Coturnix japonica: one gene and its partner. The protein of the gene in region 1 binds, or shares a complex with, the protein of each later gene. Links are inferred from orthologs where the notes say so. Each region holds a gene or a part of one and is shown in the gene's direction. Other genes may lie near its edges. The genes, in order: MED12 and MED23.

Region 1 (3,819 bases):
GGCAGGATACAATTCTGAATGATGCGGGGAACTGTGTGTTTGTATACCCAGGGATGGCACTTTCAGTCTAAAATCCTGTACCTCTAAATGGAAAGATTTTCACTTCTTTATTTGCCACCTGTTGAAGGTGGGCTTTCTGGTTCTGACTTCTGCTGCAGTCTCAGAACTGTGTATCAGTCACTTAGAGTATTGAGATCTCTAGAAATGCTTTCTCTGTGGGTGTAGGTGTGGTATCTGCTGCTGCTCTTAGTGTTACGGAGGAACTCTGATAGCACTGTCTGTCTTTGCTCTCCTTTCAGCTGATCCTGGGAAGGAGAATGAGAAGGTGGAGTTTTTTAACCTGGTGCTGCTGTTCTGTGAGCTAATCCGACATGATGTCTTCTCTCACAATATCTACATGTGCACACTCATCTCCCGGGGTGATCTTGCCATGGATTCTCATGGACCTCGTCCTCCCTCACCCTTTGATGACCCTGCTGAGGAGCATGACAGGAAGGAGACAGAAGGAAACAGTGGGATCAAGCTAGAGGTGAGAATACAAGATACGCAGCTCTTTTATGTGCTTCCTCTTGTTCTGCTTCTCCACTCATACCAGCTTTGCAGACTCCTTGCTATTACTTGCTGGAAGATGGACCAGTGACTCATGTTTCTCATTTCCCCAAGCTATTTCCTTAGCACTTCAGTTGCAAAAGTAGAGGCTTGTGTTCTAAGTGGGTAGAAAGGTCTTGCAGAATGTAACAGGGTAGACAGGAAAATCTTACTCTGAGCAGCATATCAAGTGCTATGCAAGGCCAGTCTGTGTTGTCAGGTGTTTGCAGCATATGTGATTCTGGCTGAGTTTCGTTTGCCAGGCATCATCCTTGTTGGCAAACTGCTGTCACTGTCCAACATGGAAGTGGGGTGCTGCAGTAAATGAGTCTTGTCTTGTTTCCTGGTGTATTATTGAGATGTAAAGCTGCTCTGTCTGTTCTCAGGACACGGGTCTCTCTGAGCCTATGGACATTGACCACAATTCCAGCACGATCTTTGATGACATGGAGAAAACAGATTTTTCGGTATGTGCTTGCTGTTTTGCCTGCTACTCATAAGTAGATTATGTTGTGCTAGCACCAGGGACATGTGTGGGTTCTCCCTCTCTACTGTAGAGCTGATATGTTGGAAGTGTCTAACTTGTAAGGTAGCAGACACTGTGAAAAGTTCTTCTTGGCTTCTTTCACCTGTCTTAATTATGGCATGACCACGTTCCCTAACTGATTTGTTGTTCTTGCACCTTCCTAGATGTTTTCTCCTCCAATGCATTGTGAATCTAAAGCCAGCCCTTCCCCTGAGAAACCAGATCTTGAAAAGGAAGCAAAGCCTCTGCTGAAGGACAAGTCTGCAGAAGGAATGCTAGCATCTCTGTATGACCAGCCTCGACACATCCAGTATGCAACACACTTTCCTATTCCTCAGGTATGAGACCTGCTCGTAACCCTTTTCCTGCTGCTGCCTTGTGCTCTGATAACCAGGCTGCTGTGTTTCCCTGCAGCACTACTGTAAGCATGAACCTGACTGAACAGAGTTGAACCTGATCTCTTTCTGTTCTGTTACTGTGGGTGGGTGAGGAGTGCAGTCATGTTTTTCTGCATTGCTGCAGGAGAGTGATCTACTTAAGACACCTCTTTGCTTACTCCCAGAGCAGCTTCTGAGATGAAGCTTTCTCTTTGCTTTTATGAGATCCAGATGTGAAACAAGATTAAAGTATTCAGCTTGATAGTTGCTAATGCAGTTCTTTCTCTTGGTTCCCCAGGAGGAATCATGCAGTCATGAATGTAACCAACGGTTGGTAGTTCTTTTTGGGGTTGGAAAACAACGGGACGATGCTCGGCATACAATCAAGAAAATAACCAAAGACATCCTAAAAGTTTTAAACAGAAAGAGTACTGCAGAGACAGGTCAGTATTGCTTGAGCCAGTCTTTCCAGTTGACTGCCTCCTTTGTCTGGAGTCTCACAATGAAAGGATTTCATATGATCTGCAGTGCCTGGTTGGCTGTATCAGTCACTGACTGTCTGGGATGGTGCTCTGTTCTCAAATAATAATGAGCAGCGAATAAGATTTGTTTCCTCCTGCCTAGATGTGTTCCATTGAATCTACCTTCTTCGGTAGGTGCTTAAGTCATGTCAGTTTCAGAGTGAGACCCTGGCGAAAATCGTGGCATTTTCAAACTTTATTTTCTTAAGCTCTACCATTTAAATCTTTGCACAAAAGCAGCGGGAGCTTTGCCTGTGAATGTTAGGCAAATACCCTGATTCAGTGTAGTGTGTGCTGTTATGCTAAGCATGCTGGTTAGGGTGGCAGGTTTGGATAGTTGTGTCAATACTGCTAGGAAACCTCTAATTTCTATTGATTGAGAATCTGGCTTCAGGATTTTTTTTTTCTTTTTGTTGGCCTGATTCTTGAAAGCCAACTTGAAACATGGTGTGATTCTTCAAAGGTGGCATGCTCTAACAGGCTTCTGGGCTGAGCCATCTCCAGTCCAGAACAACTGTTCTCACCAGGGAGTCAGTGTTTCTTCTAAATGGGGGGGAATATATTTTCCCCCTTCACTCAGGATAAGCTAGATGTTAACTGTGCTGTCATTCTTTGGCTAGAAATTCTTCCCTTGACAGTTTATTGTTGTGAATTCATAATGGTCCTTATCAGCTTACAGGTGGAGGATCAGGTTCTTTGGCCATGCTGCTTGGCAGTGTCTGGTCTTGCTGAGGGCCTGGCATGTGCTGATGACTGTTTTCTATTCCTCTTCTGATGAGGAAGGTAGCCTGATACTATTTTCTAGTCCTCTCAATTTTTGTAGGTGGAGAGGAAGGCCAGAAGAGGAAAAAGAGCAAGCCAGAAGCATTCCCAACAGCTGAAGATATCTTTGCAAAGTTCCAGCACCTTTCTCACTTTGATCAGCACCAAGTCACATCTCAGGTATGAAACCTTCAAGACTGCTGTCCTCTTTGGGCCCTGACTGAATCTCTTTGTGTTACTGAGGACAGCTTCCTGCAGGGAAGAGGTGTTGGGGCTGCTGAGGGGCTTCTGCAAGGGGAGATAGCACAATGTGTCACCTTACACTTGCAGGTATCCCGCAATGTCTTGGAACAGATCACCAGCTTTGCCTTGGGCATGTCCTACCACCTGCCTCTGGTACAGCATGTGCAGTTCATCTTTGACTTGATGGAGTATTCACTCAATATCAGTGGTCTTATCGACTTTGCCATCCAGGTAAGCACAGTGCTGAAGTGTTCCCTGGGGAATCAGTTCATCAGCCTGAAAGGCAGGAGATACGTGCTGTGATAGCTGGGCTTCTGTTAGGGTTCTCTGACCTGTGTTGTGGAGGTGGTCAGAACTGATAGTCATTGCAGTTCTCCTGGGCTGCAGCTGTTAGGAATGGGTTGTTTGCAGCAGATAGTCTTATGTGCCCTGTTGGAATGATTATTCTTCCAAAGGTTTTCAGGGTTGTTTCCAAAGGATTTACATTGCACCTCTTCAGCAAGGCCTTTTTCTGAGTGAGGAGGGGAATGTGTTTCTCTGGCTAGTTTCCTGCCTTCCTCTCCTGGAAGGATCCTTGGTGTGTGACAGCACAGGCTGCCTTCCAGTTCCTGCTAAAATTCTGTTGCTGTTTTATAAGCCTTTGACACTTGTTTTCTGAAGCCTTGCTATGTCTGCCAATGGAATTGAGATTATAAGCCTTAAAAAGGTGAAATCTCCATCTACAGTGAGGCTTGTGCAGGACAGGAGTACCAGAAAAGCTGTCTGCTACCATCTGTGGCCATATCTCTGACACCCAGGCACT
Region 2 (3,819 bases), on another chromosome or scaffold:
TATAGTAAAACTTTGAGTAAAGGACAAATCCTTCATGTATAAGGTCTTTTTCCAGTCATTCAAAATGTTACAGGGTTTTTGGTAGAAGTGAGTAAGTAGAAAAAAGAAGTTCAAAATTTACCTTCTAAAGGTTAGATACCTGTAGGCATTCTTTCTGAAATACACTCATCTTCATTTTCAGTGAATTTGATTGTAGCTCTGAAGAACAATATAAAGCAATTCTATTTTATTCTATTCTTTGCTAATTCACATTTATTAAAAAAGAATTGACTGTAGAGAAGTATGACTTCAGTGGGAAATGTTTCCAATATTATATTAAATGACTTGTAAGGAAAACTGGATGTTGGACAACTGGACTTCTAGCATGATGAAACCAACAGGGGATAAGATTTATTTCTTCATAGTGGGACTTTTGTATGAATTTTATTATTTGTTTTACTATTTGTAAATAGTATTTCTTCCCTCTGCTTCTTTTTCAGGAATCCCACGAGCAGTGTGTCCAGTGGATTGTAAGATTCATTCATAGTCAGCACAGTCCTAAAAGAATTTCTTTTCTTTATGACTGTTTAGCAATGGCAGTTGAAACTGGACTTTTACCACCCAGGTAAGCTGCGATGCAGTGAGCTCAATACATGGAAGTTGTAGCGTGAGATTATTTTTGAAGTGTTGCTGTAGAGCACATGCTTATTATCTGCCATTTATTCTTGCGTTGTCTTCTGGTAGGATGGTTTGTGAGTCTCTGATAAACTCTGATACGCTTGAATGGGAAAGGACACAGCTGTGGGCATTGACATTTAAATTGATCCGGAAGATCATTGGAGGTGTAGACTATAAGGTATCTTCCCTATGTTTCTTTCTTTATGAGAAAACATATTATTTACTGGCTTTGTTTTTATGACTGTTTACTTTGTAAATGAAATGTAAAAAAAAAAAAAAAAAGTTCAATGAGACCAGATTTAATGCTTTTTCATAAACGAGCTTTATCTTAGTAGGTAATTTTGTACAGTTATGCAAATCTTCCTTCTCTCAGTTTCTTTTCTACTACACTGTCATCTTCCATCCCTTTATTAGTTACAAGCTAAGTAACTCTAGGACAGTTGCATAAGTGGTACACAGAGAAAAGTATTACTATCAAACAGTAAAGCTGAAGTTTTTGTATCTCCTCTGCCTCCTGTTGATATGTACGAAAAGGATGCTGAAAGCTGAACAAATCCAACACAAGTGGCAGAAAACAAAGTATCTCTTGCAGAGTACTGCCTCACCAGTGCTAGTAGGCTTGTTAAGGCAAAACCAATAGTTCACAGGATTGATCTTTAGGCAGTCTGCATAAGCTCATTGGATGTCTCTGGATGGTCATGAGAATTGTAACAGTTATTACTGTCATCTGGGGTATGCCAAGATTGTGAAATTCCAGAACGGGTTTAATATTATTAATATTCACATTCTCAGTAGCAGTGTGCATTCTAACGTTTAGCATTTTCAGCAAAATCAGGTGTTTATTACTGTCTGACTGCATTTATTGTGATATTTTTCTGCCAGAAATAAAGAATATCAAGGAGTATTAACATTGTTTGTTTTCTTCTAGGGTGTACGTGATCTGCTGAAAGTGATCCTCGAGAAAATCTTAACAATTCCAAACACTGTGAGCTCAGCTGTTGTACAGCAGCTTTTAGCAGCAAGAGAGGTAGTTACCTGAATTTTATATACCGCTATAAAGAGAGACTGGCCTCATTCTTTTGCCACTCATCAGTATTTAATATCCAGGGTGGCTTTTCTTTGGGATTTGGTATAGATCACCAGCAAAGACATTTTTTGTGCTCTAATTGTTTCTGTAGTTGTGTTTTATACCTTTGTACAAGGAGCTTTTGGGGGATGCTGTAGGTAAGGAAGAGTCAGACTTCATGTTTGGCATACTGAGGTAAGCTGAATGAGAGAAGATATTAACTTCTTTTTTTTCTTAATGAGAGAAAGTACTAGTAGTTTTCAGTGTTGTGTATGCAGGTGTAAAGGCACAGATTTACTTGAGTTTAAACAAAGCTAGCTTACACTAGTACAATTAGAAACAGCTATTAATCTAATGTAGTATCAGAGTACAACTTAAGGAAAAGCATATTAATTCTTACTGATATGTATTTTTATGGGCTACCTCAGGCTAGTACATAGACTACATCTTTGTTTATCTTATTCATAGGCTTTTTGCGCTGATATATTTTTCTGCTTACAGGTGGTAGCCTACATTTTAGAAAGAAATGCGTGTTTGTTACCTGCCTACTTTGCTGTTACAGAAATCAGAAAACTATATCCTGAAGGAAAACTTCCCCACTGGGTAATGATGAGATCTAAAATCATGCAATTGGTTTTCATAGAGCAAAACTCTATATGTTGTCTTTTTGTTTGTTTTAATCAAATATAAGAAAATTTTAAAATCTCTATTTTAGTATATTTCTGTTTATCTTACTAAAATGTATAAACAATTTTAGTCTTAAATATTCCTTCTCATTACTTAATGTTGCTGCAACTTAACCTATTTTTGTTCCTCTTCTCACCCAGTTACTAGGTAATTTAGTATCGGATTTCGTGGATACCTTCAGACCTACAGCAAGAATAAATTCCATTTGTGGTAAGAGAATGAGTCAAAACAAGTTAACTATTTTTGTTTAATATGTCAAAATTTTGTTGTATTTTGGGGCATGAATTTACATAAGCAAGATGATTTAAAGCTTTTGATTCATATAGTATACTTCATTTTTCAGTTTATTTTAGGGGTCCCTTCCTTCAGTTTTTGTATTTTGACTGCAGTTGATAGTGAAAATATACTTTTGTTATGTGGTCAGCCATATCATTTCTAACTAGAGTAGACCTTAGGAAAATCATGACTTCCAGTGTAAGGATTTTGAGTTAATGCAGGTCCACTGTTATGTTAGCCATAGAATATTTTCTTATTTCAGTTTCCAATAGAGCTCCTGCTCAGCCTCCTCCCTATTGTTGCAGACAAATAGGGATGTGTAAACATTTCTTTTCTAGTTGAGTACTACATTTTCCATGAAAGAGAAGCTTACCTTAATTTGTTGCTAAAAATAGGTAAAGTTTGGCTGTTTTAATTGTGATGTATCTTGCTGTTTTCTTTAAAAAAATAAAATAAAAATATCTTCTATTACTTGAAATGATGGCTGCATTATATCATAACTTTGAGAAGTTTTATTGCAACCGAAGTTAACTAAGTGACAAGATTAAAGATGTAAAATCATCTATATCATCCCAAAGCATTTTGTTTCCCAACAACATTATTCAACGTGTGAAGAAATGGTTGAAGGGAAGATGTAGATATTTGTACTTTTTTATGTGACAGTAGTATAGTCAGTTTGGATAACAGAAGCCACAGAATTTGAACTGACAGTGTGATTTAGGCCAAAGTTAAGGCACTTAAATTTAGATACTTATTTGCACAAGGGGTTCCGTTCAGATACTTCTGCTTAAGCAACTGAAATGAATCCCAGATGTCTAATCTAGGCTGTCTTGTCGAAATTTACTTGAAAAACTGTTGGTTTGCAGCCTACTGAACCATACGAGCCTCCATTGACTTAGTTGGCTAGATCTCCATTGACTGTAACTGTAGCATGGGCACTTAGATTTAACTATGTTCATCTTGAACAGATACTTGCCCACATCATCTTAGGGGATGAAGGAAGAAAATGGATAGAAAGGTTATATACTTATGTTAGTAATGCAATTTTGGGGGGAAGGGTTGGTTAACCAAAATTTAATCCCTAGTGCAAACAGTGGCATTAGAGCAGTCTTTGAGTGAATTGGAAGGTCTTT

The links.
Region 2: MED12 (region 1) and MED23 share a complex: the UniProt entries of both Homo sapiens proteins name them as parts of the mediator complex. The link is inferred for Coturnix japonica from reciprocal best matches to the Homo sapiens genes MED12 and MED23.

Annotation. Positions count from the first base shown.
Region 1 is NC_029519.1:2,314,887-2,318,705, reverse strand, and holds part of MED12 (mediator of RNA polymerase II transcription subunit 12), read left to right. Parts: intron 1-299; coding exon 300-529; intron 530-974; coding exon 975-1,055; intron 1,056-1,278; coding exon 1,279-1,452; intron 1,453-1,789; coding exon 1,790-1,934; intron 1,935-2,835; coding exon 2,836-2,954; intron 2,955-3,104; coding exon 3,105-3,248; intron 3,249-3,819. UniProt on the Homo sapiens protein: Component of the Mediator complex, a coactivator involved in the regulated transcription of nearly all RNA polymerase II-dependent genes.
Region 2 is NC_029518.1:51,921,858-51,925,676, forward strand, and holds part of MED23 (mediator of RNA polymerase II transcription subunit 23), read left to right. Parts: intron 1-479; coding exon 480-604; intron 605-723; coding exon 724-835; intron 836-1,585; coding exon 1,586-1,684; intron 1,685-2,224; coding exon 2,225-2,326; intron 2,327-2,550; coding exon 2,551-2,620; intron 2,621-3,819. UniProt on the Homo sapiens protein: Required for transcriptional activation subsequent to the assembly of the pre-initiation complex. Component of the Mediator complex, a coactivator involved in the regulated transcription of nearly all RNA polymerase II-dependent genes.